2 linked regions of the Diceros bicornis minor genome follow. The protein of the gene in region 1 interacts with the protein of each later gene in a biochemical or structural test. Links are inferred from orthologs where the notes say so. Each region holds a gene or a part of one and is shown on either strand. Other genes may lie near its edges.

The links.
Region 2: the proteins of FLNC (region 1) and XIRP1 form a complex in vitro, tested with the Homo sapiens proteins (2 studies listed by BioGRID and IntAct, with this or other methods). The link is inferred for Diceros bicornis minor from reciprocal best matches to the Homo sapiens genes FLNC and XIRP1.

Annotation. Positions count from the first base shown.
Region 1 is NC_080742.1:77,584,856-77,588,757, forward strand, and holds the start of FLNC (filamin-C), read left to right. Parts: upstream 1-1,021; 5' UTR 1,022-1,257; coding exon 1,258-1,612; intron 1,613-3,902.
Region 2 is NC_080741.1:41,944,642-41,948,543, forward strand, and holds the start of XIRP1 (xin actin-binding repeat-containing protein 1), read right to left. Parts: upstream 2,839-3,902; coding exon 1-2,838. UniProt on the Homo sapiens protein: Protects actin filaments from depolymerization. Required for correct cardiac intercalated disk ultrastructure via maintenance of cell-cell adhesion stability, and as a result maintains cardiac organ morphology, conductance and heart beat rhythm.

The sequences.
Region 1 (3,902 bases):
TCTTGCCTAGGTTCCTGGCTGGCTCCCTTGGGCTCTCCCTGCCCACCGGCCCCCCGGCACGTTTCCCCCTGGCTGCTCTGGGCAGGGCTCTCCCTGTTTGTGTCTGGCTAACCCGTTCTTTTTCTGGAAGGATCTACCCTGTGGCCCAAATGGGCACATTGCCCAGGGGGCTCCCTAGTACTACCGGACAGAGTCTCTCTCTCCTCTCACATCACCTTGGTTGAGTCAGACTTGATGGGGGGGGGCCCACAGTGTGACTCACTGGGTACTCTTTTACTGAGCTCAGCTTCATTCTGAAGGGATGAGGCCAAACCGGCTGGTGACAGGCACACTGAGTCAGGGGCAGCCTAGTCTTTCTCCTGGAACCCTGGGTTTGGGCCTCAAATGAGACTTTGCTACCTGTAAAGCAGAGCAGCCCCCCAAGCCTTCTCCCTAATTGACCTGGGCAGTGTCCCTACTTCCTCTCAGTCTGTCTCTACACAAGCACACACACTTCCCTTCCCTGTCCGCAGGTGGACAATACCCCGGGGCTAGGAGCCCGGACTCCTAGACCCTGTCAATGGCCCTGCCACCAACTCAGACAGAAAATTTTGTCAACACCAGATCAATGTATTTTGCCCTAACCACTGGCCTCAGTTTCCTTATTTATCTCTTTAGCCCCGCGGGGTGTGGAGAGGGCATATTTCATCTGCGACTGGCAATGCTTAGTTTTGGGGTGTTGGGTGCCCTCACCCCCCACCTTCCAGCTCCACTATTGACCTCTCCAGCGGGGCGGCCTTGGGGACCAGGACCGGGGACCGAGCTCCCCTGGGCCGCAGACCCGGGCCGGGGTGGGACCCCCTGTCCCGCCGCTCGGCCGCGTGGGGGAGGGGCGGAGGAGGCGGGGCGGCCGGCGCGGCGCGGCCCCCACCCGCGGGCCGGGCGGCATTCCTGGGAGGCCGGCGCTCTGACGTGGACCCGGGGGCCGCGGGCACAGCGGGGGGAGCGCGGCTCGGGGGCTTCTTAAACCCCCCGCCCCGGCCCGGCCCGCACTTCCCGAGCACCGCTCCGCCCCCGGAGGGAGAGAGAGAGAGAGGCGGCCGAGAAGCCGAGGAGGCCCGCCGTGACCCGCCAGCCAGGGCGCGAGAGAAGTGAGAGCAGCGCAGCGCGGAGCTGCGAGTCCCGCCGTCGCGCCCCGACAGCGCCCCCTGACAGCGCCCCAACCCGAGCCCAGCCCAGCCGAGCCGGCCCGCAGCCCTCGCCCCAGCCCGCGCCAGCATGATGAACAACAGCGGCTACTCGGAGCCCGCCGGCCTCGGCCTGGGCGACGAGGCGGACGACATGCCGTCCACGGAGAAGGACCTGGCGGAGGACGCGCCGTGGAAGAAGATCCAGCAGAACACGTTCACGCGCTGGTGCAACGAGCACCTCAAGTGCGTGGGCAAGCGCCTGACCGACCTGCAGCGCGACCTCAGCGACGGGCTGCGCCTCATCGCGCTGCTCGAGGTGCTCAGCCAGAAGCGCATGTACCGCAAGTTCCACCCGCGCCCCAACTTCCGCCAGATGAAGCTGGAGAACGTGTCCGTGGCCCTCGAGTTCCTCGAGCGCGAGCACATCAAGCTCGTGTCCATCGGTCAGTGTGGGCGGGGAGGGCGAGAGTGCACCGAGGATGGGTTGGCCCGTGGGGGCAGGGGACACGGTGCTGGGTGCGCGCGGGGAGCTGAGAGAGAGGGCAGAGAGCGGCCCCCGGCGCAGGGAGAGGACCCCGGCCCCGGCTCTCCCGCCCTCCGACGCAGGCCACGCGGGCAGTGCCTTCACAGCCCGCGCAGGACAGCCGGCATCCCGGAGGGGGCCCGAGGACCAGACCTTACTCTTCCCGAGTCCTCCAGCTTCAAGCTCCCTCCACCCACTCCCACCAACCCGCTTCTACTCATTGTCCCCTTTCCTGCCATCGGGCAACCCCAGCCCATGCTTGAGAGGACAGGGCCAGTGCCCATTACTGATTCCTGGGGGCGTCTCCCCCCAAACAAAGCAAATGGCTTCCCAGCCTCCCAGCACCTCCACAGGGGAGGAGCGGGCTGAAGGCAGGTCCCAACCACGGCCTGATCCAAGGGCTCTGAGGCAGAGGGAGAGCTGGTGGCGGGGCAGGCATGTGCTCAGCAGCTGGGTTCAGGCGCGGGGGCCGGGGCAGGCAGGGCCCAGCCTCAGAAACCTAAAAAGGCACTGAGCGAGCGCAGGGAGCCTTAACCCCTGCCTAGCCTTCGCGCGGTTCGGCCTGTCCGGGAGGGGGCTCCTGGACGTCGGTGTCTAGCCCCAGCCCACCCCCTAAGCCGGGATTGGCTGCAGCTAACGGTCTGGGCTGAGGGGAGGGAGGGGAAGCCTGTAGAAGGGAGGAAGTCATTGAGTGTAACCAGATTTGGAAGGTGTGTCAGTGTTGGGTGGGGGTGGGGGAGGTACTCTAGGCTAGGGAGCTGAGGAGCAAATGAGCTCTGAGTGGCGAGAGGCTGCCCCTCTCCCCACTGTCCTGTGGTCGTCCCTGCAGGCTGGGGGCGAGGGGAAGACCCCCTACCCCTGTGCTGAGCTCTTAAGAGTCCTGCTGTGATTTACAGGAAAGGCCCTTGGGCGCTGCACCCTAGGGCCACAGGAGGGAAGTTTCACCTGGGGTCAGGTGCCTCCTCCACCAGGCTGCCCCAGAAACTTCCCCAGATAATTGAATGTCCACCCCCACTCTCCCTCAGGGCATCGCTAGGCCTCCTGAATTAGCAGCTGAAGTCAGGCCGGGGCCCTTTGCCCTGTCCAGTCCCCTCTCTAGGCTTTACCCCCTCCTGCCCCAATACTGCCCCCCCACCCCACCCGCTCGCTGGGGCCTGGAAATAGCCCTGCCTCCGTGACACAGCAGATGTCTCTGAGCTTTCCAGAAGGACAAGCCTGAGGACAGGGGGTGGGGGAGGGGGCCCTGGTGTGTGTGCTGGGGCTGAGGGCTCCCAGAGTGTGTGTGTGCGCGTGCGTTGGGGGGGCGGGTGGTCAGACACAGTCTGCCCTGGGGCGGTCATTCCCCTGCACATTGGGATTTGACAGACAGGACTGACTGTCCCAGGTGGGGTCACCGAGGGGAGAGCTGGGGCCTCACCAAGAGTTTATAGGAAACTACTCAGGCTTCCCCTCCCCTCCCCGCTGTGGGGGCGCTGGGCCGCTCTCCAGGCCTCATCCTTCCTGAGCGCACCTCTCCCCTCCCCCATGGTGGTGCCTGGCTCCGGCCCCTTGGCTCAACTGTGGAGGGGCCGGCTCAGAGTAGAGGGGAAAGAAGCAAAAGCTGGTTTGGGGGTGGGAGGGAAGCTCCTCGGTTCCTGCTGAGAGGAAGGGGAGCCATTCCCCATTTGGGCCAAGTGGCTCACTCGCACTGATGAGATAAGCTGTCAGCAATTCAGCTGCTAGGCCTGAGGCTGAGGCTGGAGGGGAGGGGACACAGGCGGCAGGGGCTGCCCAATGCTGAGGAGACGGAAAGGGGTTCCCCGCCAGGAGCAGCATCCTGCTTACTCTATTCCCTCTGTCCCACTTAGAGGTGGGAAGGGGCTGCCCAGGAAGGGGCTGCCCAATACCCTCTCTGGGTGTTGTCTCTGGACTGAAATTGAGCGTCTGGGCACTTGGGAGTGGGGGGTCAAAAAGACTCCCCACTTCCATTTCTAGGAGTGGAGTGGAAGCTGGGGGCTGAGACATCCACCTGAAGGAGGGGGTACTCAGTCTGGGCTGAGGAGCTGCGTGCCCTTCTTACCCTGTTACCCCTGTCTCGGCCCCCACCACCCCCTCAGCCCCTCGGAACAAAGAGGCCTGTGAGGCAGCTCTGTCCCGCAGCTGTTCCCCAGTTGCTATTCCTTCTCCTTGAGCCAACAGCCAAAGGAGGGGCGGGAGGGGGCAGCAGCTGT
Region 2 (3,902 bases), on another chromosome or scaffold:
GTGCAGGCCACTCAGGTCTCCTTTGTCTATGCAGCTGGCCAGCAGCTGCACACTGCTCCTCTCAGGGGCCCTGCTGGTTAGCCTGGGCTGCAGGGAGTAGGCGGTCAGTGAGACCAGGCCCTGCTCTGTCTCCTGCATCACCAGCCCTGTCCTCGCCACCGAGGTCCCCAGGCCACAAGCCAGCAACTGCTGGAACTCAGGGTCCATGTCTTCGACGGTCCCGCTGCTGCCTGGAGCTGGCAGCCTCAGCAGCTTGAGCCGGAGCTGGCCCGCTGGGTCCTCCTGCACCAACAGCCCCTGCTGGTCCACGTCCGGCCGGCGCAGCACTTGGCGGACAATCCTGGGAAGCTCGCCAGACACCAGCTCCTCCTTCTGTATATGGGGGCCTCCCTGCCCTGGGCCTGGGAGCACATACTTGGCAAGGCAGAGCTCCCCCTGCCCTCGGGCCTCCATGAGGATTCCTCCGTGGTGCAGAATGCCAGGCGTGGCATGCAGAGTCCGCAGGGTCCCCTCAGCTGCAGTCTTCTGCCTCTCCAGCACCCTGTTGGCTGAGGGGCCTGCAGGCTGCTCTTCTTGGAGGTTGTCCCCTCGGATGCTCTCAGCTGCCAGGGAGCCCATGGGGCAATTCTCAAAGAGCCAGGTGAACTTGTGCACAGAGCCAGCAGGGATGGGCTCAGGGATTACTCTGGATCCCTCATCTTCCCTCTTGCCTGCCTCCAGGGCCTGGAAAACCTCCTTCTGACGAGACACCTGCCCTGAAGGGATCTCCACTCGGCTGCAGTATCGTACAGGCCCTCTTCCGCAAGGACGGCCTGAGGCCTGCAGAGGCTCAGTCTCAAAGACATGTCTGTCTGTCTGTCTTTCCCCAGCCTGGACCTGGCTAACCTGCAGGTGCTGCTCCCAGGAACCTTCTGGCCTGTCCAGGGGTTGGGGCACAAACATCCAGGTGCAGGACCTTTCCTTGGCCTTAGTTGTGGGATGTGTGACCTCTGACCCTTGCTTCTCCGCCAGCTCACTCATTGGGCATGTCTCAAACAACCACCGGATGGTCTGCACGTCACCCTTTAGGGGTGCCTCAGGCTGGGGACCTGTCTGACTCTTTCCTTCTTCTACCTGTCGTTCCTGCTGCTCCCGTTGGTGGATCACCTCTAGGGGCTGGGTCTCAAAGAGCCACCGAGCAGTGCGCACGTCTCCAGCCACTACCTCCTGCCGGGTGATGCCCCGAACCACATCGACAGTACTGGGGTTTCGGCCCAGTTGGTCTAAGGGCTGTGTCTCAAACATCCACCTGTAGCCCTGCACGTCACCTCCGACTACCTGTTCTCTGCTGACAGAGGTCAGGGCATGGAGGAGGCCTTTACCATCCTGCATGGCGTACACTGGGGACCCTATGTCCTGAGACTGCCCAGCAGAATCAGTTCCTTCTGCTCCATTCACACTCCTGTGGGCCAAAGGCTCACCCTGCCCGATGCTGTCCAGGGGAAGGGTCTCAAAAAGGTTCTTGAAGGTCTTCACATCCCCCTTCACCCCATCCCTCTGGGGGGCACTCTGAGAAAGGGACTGTGGGGAGGAGCCATCACTGGATGGACGCTCATACACGAGCCCCTCACCCTCCCGGGGACCCACCCGCTGCAGGTGACCCACTTGGACGTTGTCTCTGAGAGTGTCCAGGGGCTTTGTCTCAAATAGCCACAGGGTGGAGCGGACATCACCAGGGACCACTTCCTCTTTGGGTGGGACCTCTGTTACAGCCTCCTCTTCTCCCTTTAGAGTGTCTAGTGCTTGGGTCTCAAATAGATGCCGCTGATGCTGAACATCTGGACCAGGAGGGATAAGGTCTGGGGACGGCTGGAAGTCCTTCTCATCCACCAAGATCTCCCGGATGGCATCCAGGGGCTGTGTCTCAAAGATCCAGCGAGTTGCACTGACATCAGGCCGGGCCCCTTCCTCCAGGGAGATCCCCCGGATCACCCGCACTTGGCTGGGGTCCCGGTTGATGGCATCCAGAGGTTGGGTCTCAAAGAGCCAGCGAGCGGTCCTCACTGCATTGCTTTGGATCTCCTCCCGGCAGGCAGCCTTGACCTCATGGATGGCTCCCTCTGCGTCCTGGATAGCACACAGCGGCTCCGTTTGGAACAGCTTCACTGTCTTCTTCACATCACCTTTCAGCTCCTGGATCTCTGAGCGCAGCTCCAAGGGGCTCTGCTCCTGGATGGAGGGGCGGGAGCCCAGGCGGTCCAGCGGCCGTGTTTCAAAGAGCATCCTGGTACCCTGGACATCTCCGCTGGCTGCAGGCTCCTTCACTGTAGCCTCAGGTGCCTCAGCCTGGCCCGTCAGCTCATCCAGCGGCTTCGTCTCAAATAGCCAGCGGGCGGCACGAACATCCCCTCTGGATGGCTGAGGTCCAGCTGGCTCCTGGTCTATGCCGTTGGCAAAGGAGCCTTCCTCAAACTTTCGAGAGGTGGCCTGGACGTCGCCGCCAGGCACGGGCTCCTTGGCAGGTGGCTTCTCACGGTCCCCAATGGCGTCCAGCCGCCAGTTCTCAAAGATCCAGCGCATGCACTGGACGTCACCCTCGGTGGGCTCCTCAGAACTCAGGACCTCAGCCAGGTCTTCAGCCACGGCCTCGGCCAGGTTCTTGCGGAGCTCAGGATGGATGTGCTTGTAAAGGCGGCGGAGCTCATTAGCTTGCCGCTGCTGGTGGAACTTGGAGAAGGACTCCTTGGGTGGTGGTGGTGGCAGATCCTCCAGGGCTGGGGGTTGGGGGAGAGGGAGGTCCTCTGCAGTTGCCATGGGGACGGCTGATGTGGGGGCTGCCTGTGTCTGGGCTTTGGCCATCCTCCTGAGGAGAAGGGGCAGAGATTAGGATGGGGCTGGGAGCCTTAGGTGGGATGGGGGCTAGTTGCTGGGAGAAATAGCAGGGAGCAGGGCCCAGGGCCAGAGTAGCCCTGTGGTGACATGTACTTAGAGACCCCCTCCCTCTCCAGACCTCACCACGGTCTCCTTCTGCCACCTGCATGGTTGGTGTATGACAAGTCTTGAACTTAGGGCATAGGGAGCCGTCCATCAAGGTGGGTCCCGGCTTCCCCAGAGTCACCTGTGTTGCTAGGGAGTAAGCAGGGCACTGCTGTTGCCCTTGAAGCTCTGTCCTTCAGCCCCACAGGGATGCCCAAACCTCTGGCTGGCAAAGTGGACATGCTCCATCCTCACCTTCCTTTGCCAAAATCAGTTTTCCCTGGTGAACTCCCAAGTGAGTGGCCTGGGGTCCCTAAATTGGTGACCCCTTCCCATGGAGAAGAAATACCCTTTCATAGCACCAGAGGGCGCACTTGCCACTTTCACGGGAAGTCCTGCCCAACCTTCACCTCTTGGCTCTCAACTCACTCTCCAACCTTTCCCAGGCCCAGGCAGGCAAGCAGGAGCCAGCAGCCCATGCGGTAGCAGAGGTGGTCACAGCTCTGCGAGGGGCAGTTGTTCCCAGATATCTCATGGTTAGGCAGAGCCAGATTCTGAATCCCAGGTTAGGGGTTTTCTGTGCCATAAGGCAAGACTCAGAAGGTCTGAGCTGGGGGATTTCAAAGGTCTTCGAGCCCAACCACTCCTAGTTACAGATGAGAAAACTGAAGACCAGAAAGAGTCAGATCTTGGTGAATGAATGGCAGGCAATGCTGGCTCGGGGTTACTACACCCTATGTGGGGCCTGGCTCCCAAGAAATGAGAGGGTGGGGGTATGAAGCTCTACTACTGGCTACGTGCCCCTCTGTTCCCCAGCAGGCACCTCAGGAGAGTGTGAGGGCGACACTGACAGGGAGGGAAGGCAGTGGGACCGAGGGCCTTTCTGCAGAGATAGCCCTGACCCTTGCTCGTGGAGACTCGTCCCCACCGTGTGCAGCTGGCCGAGT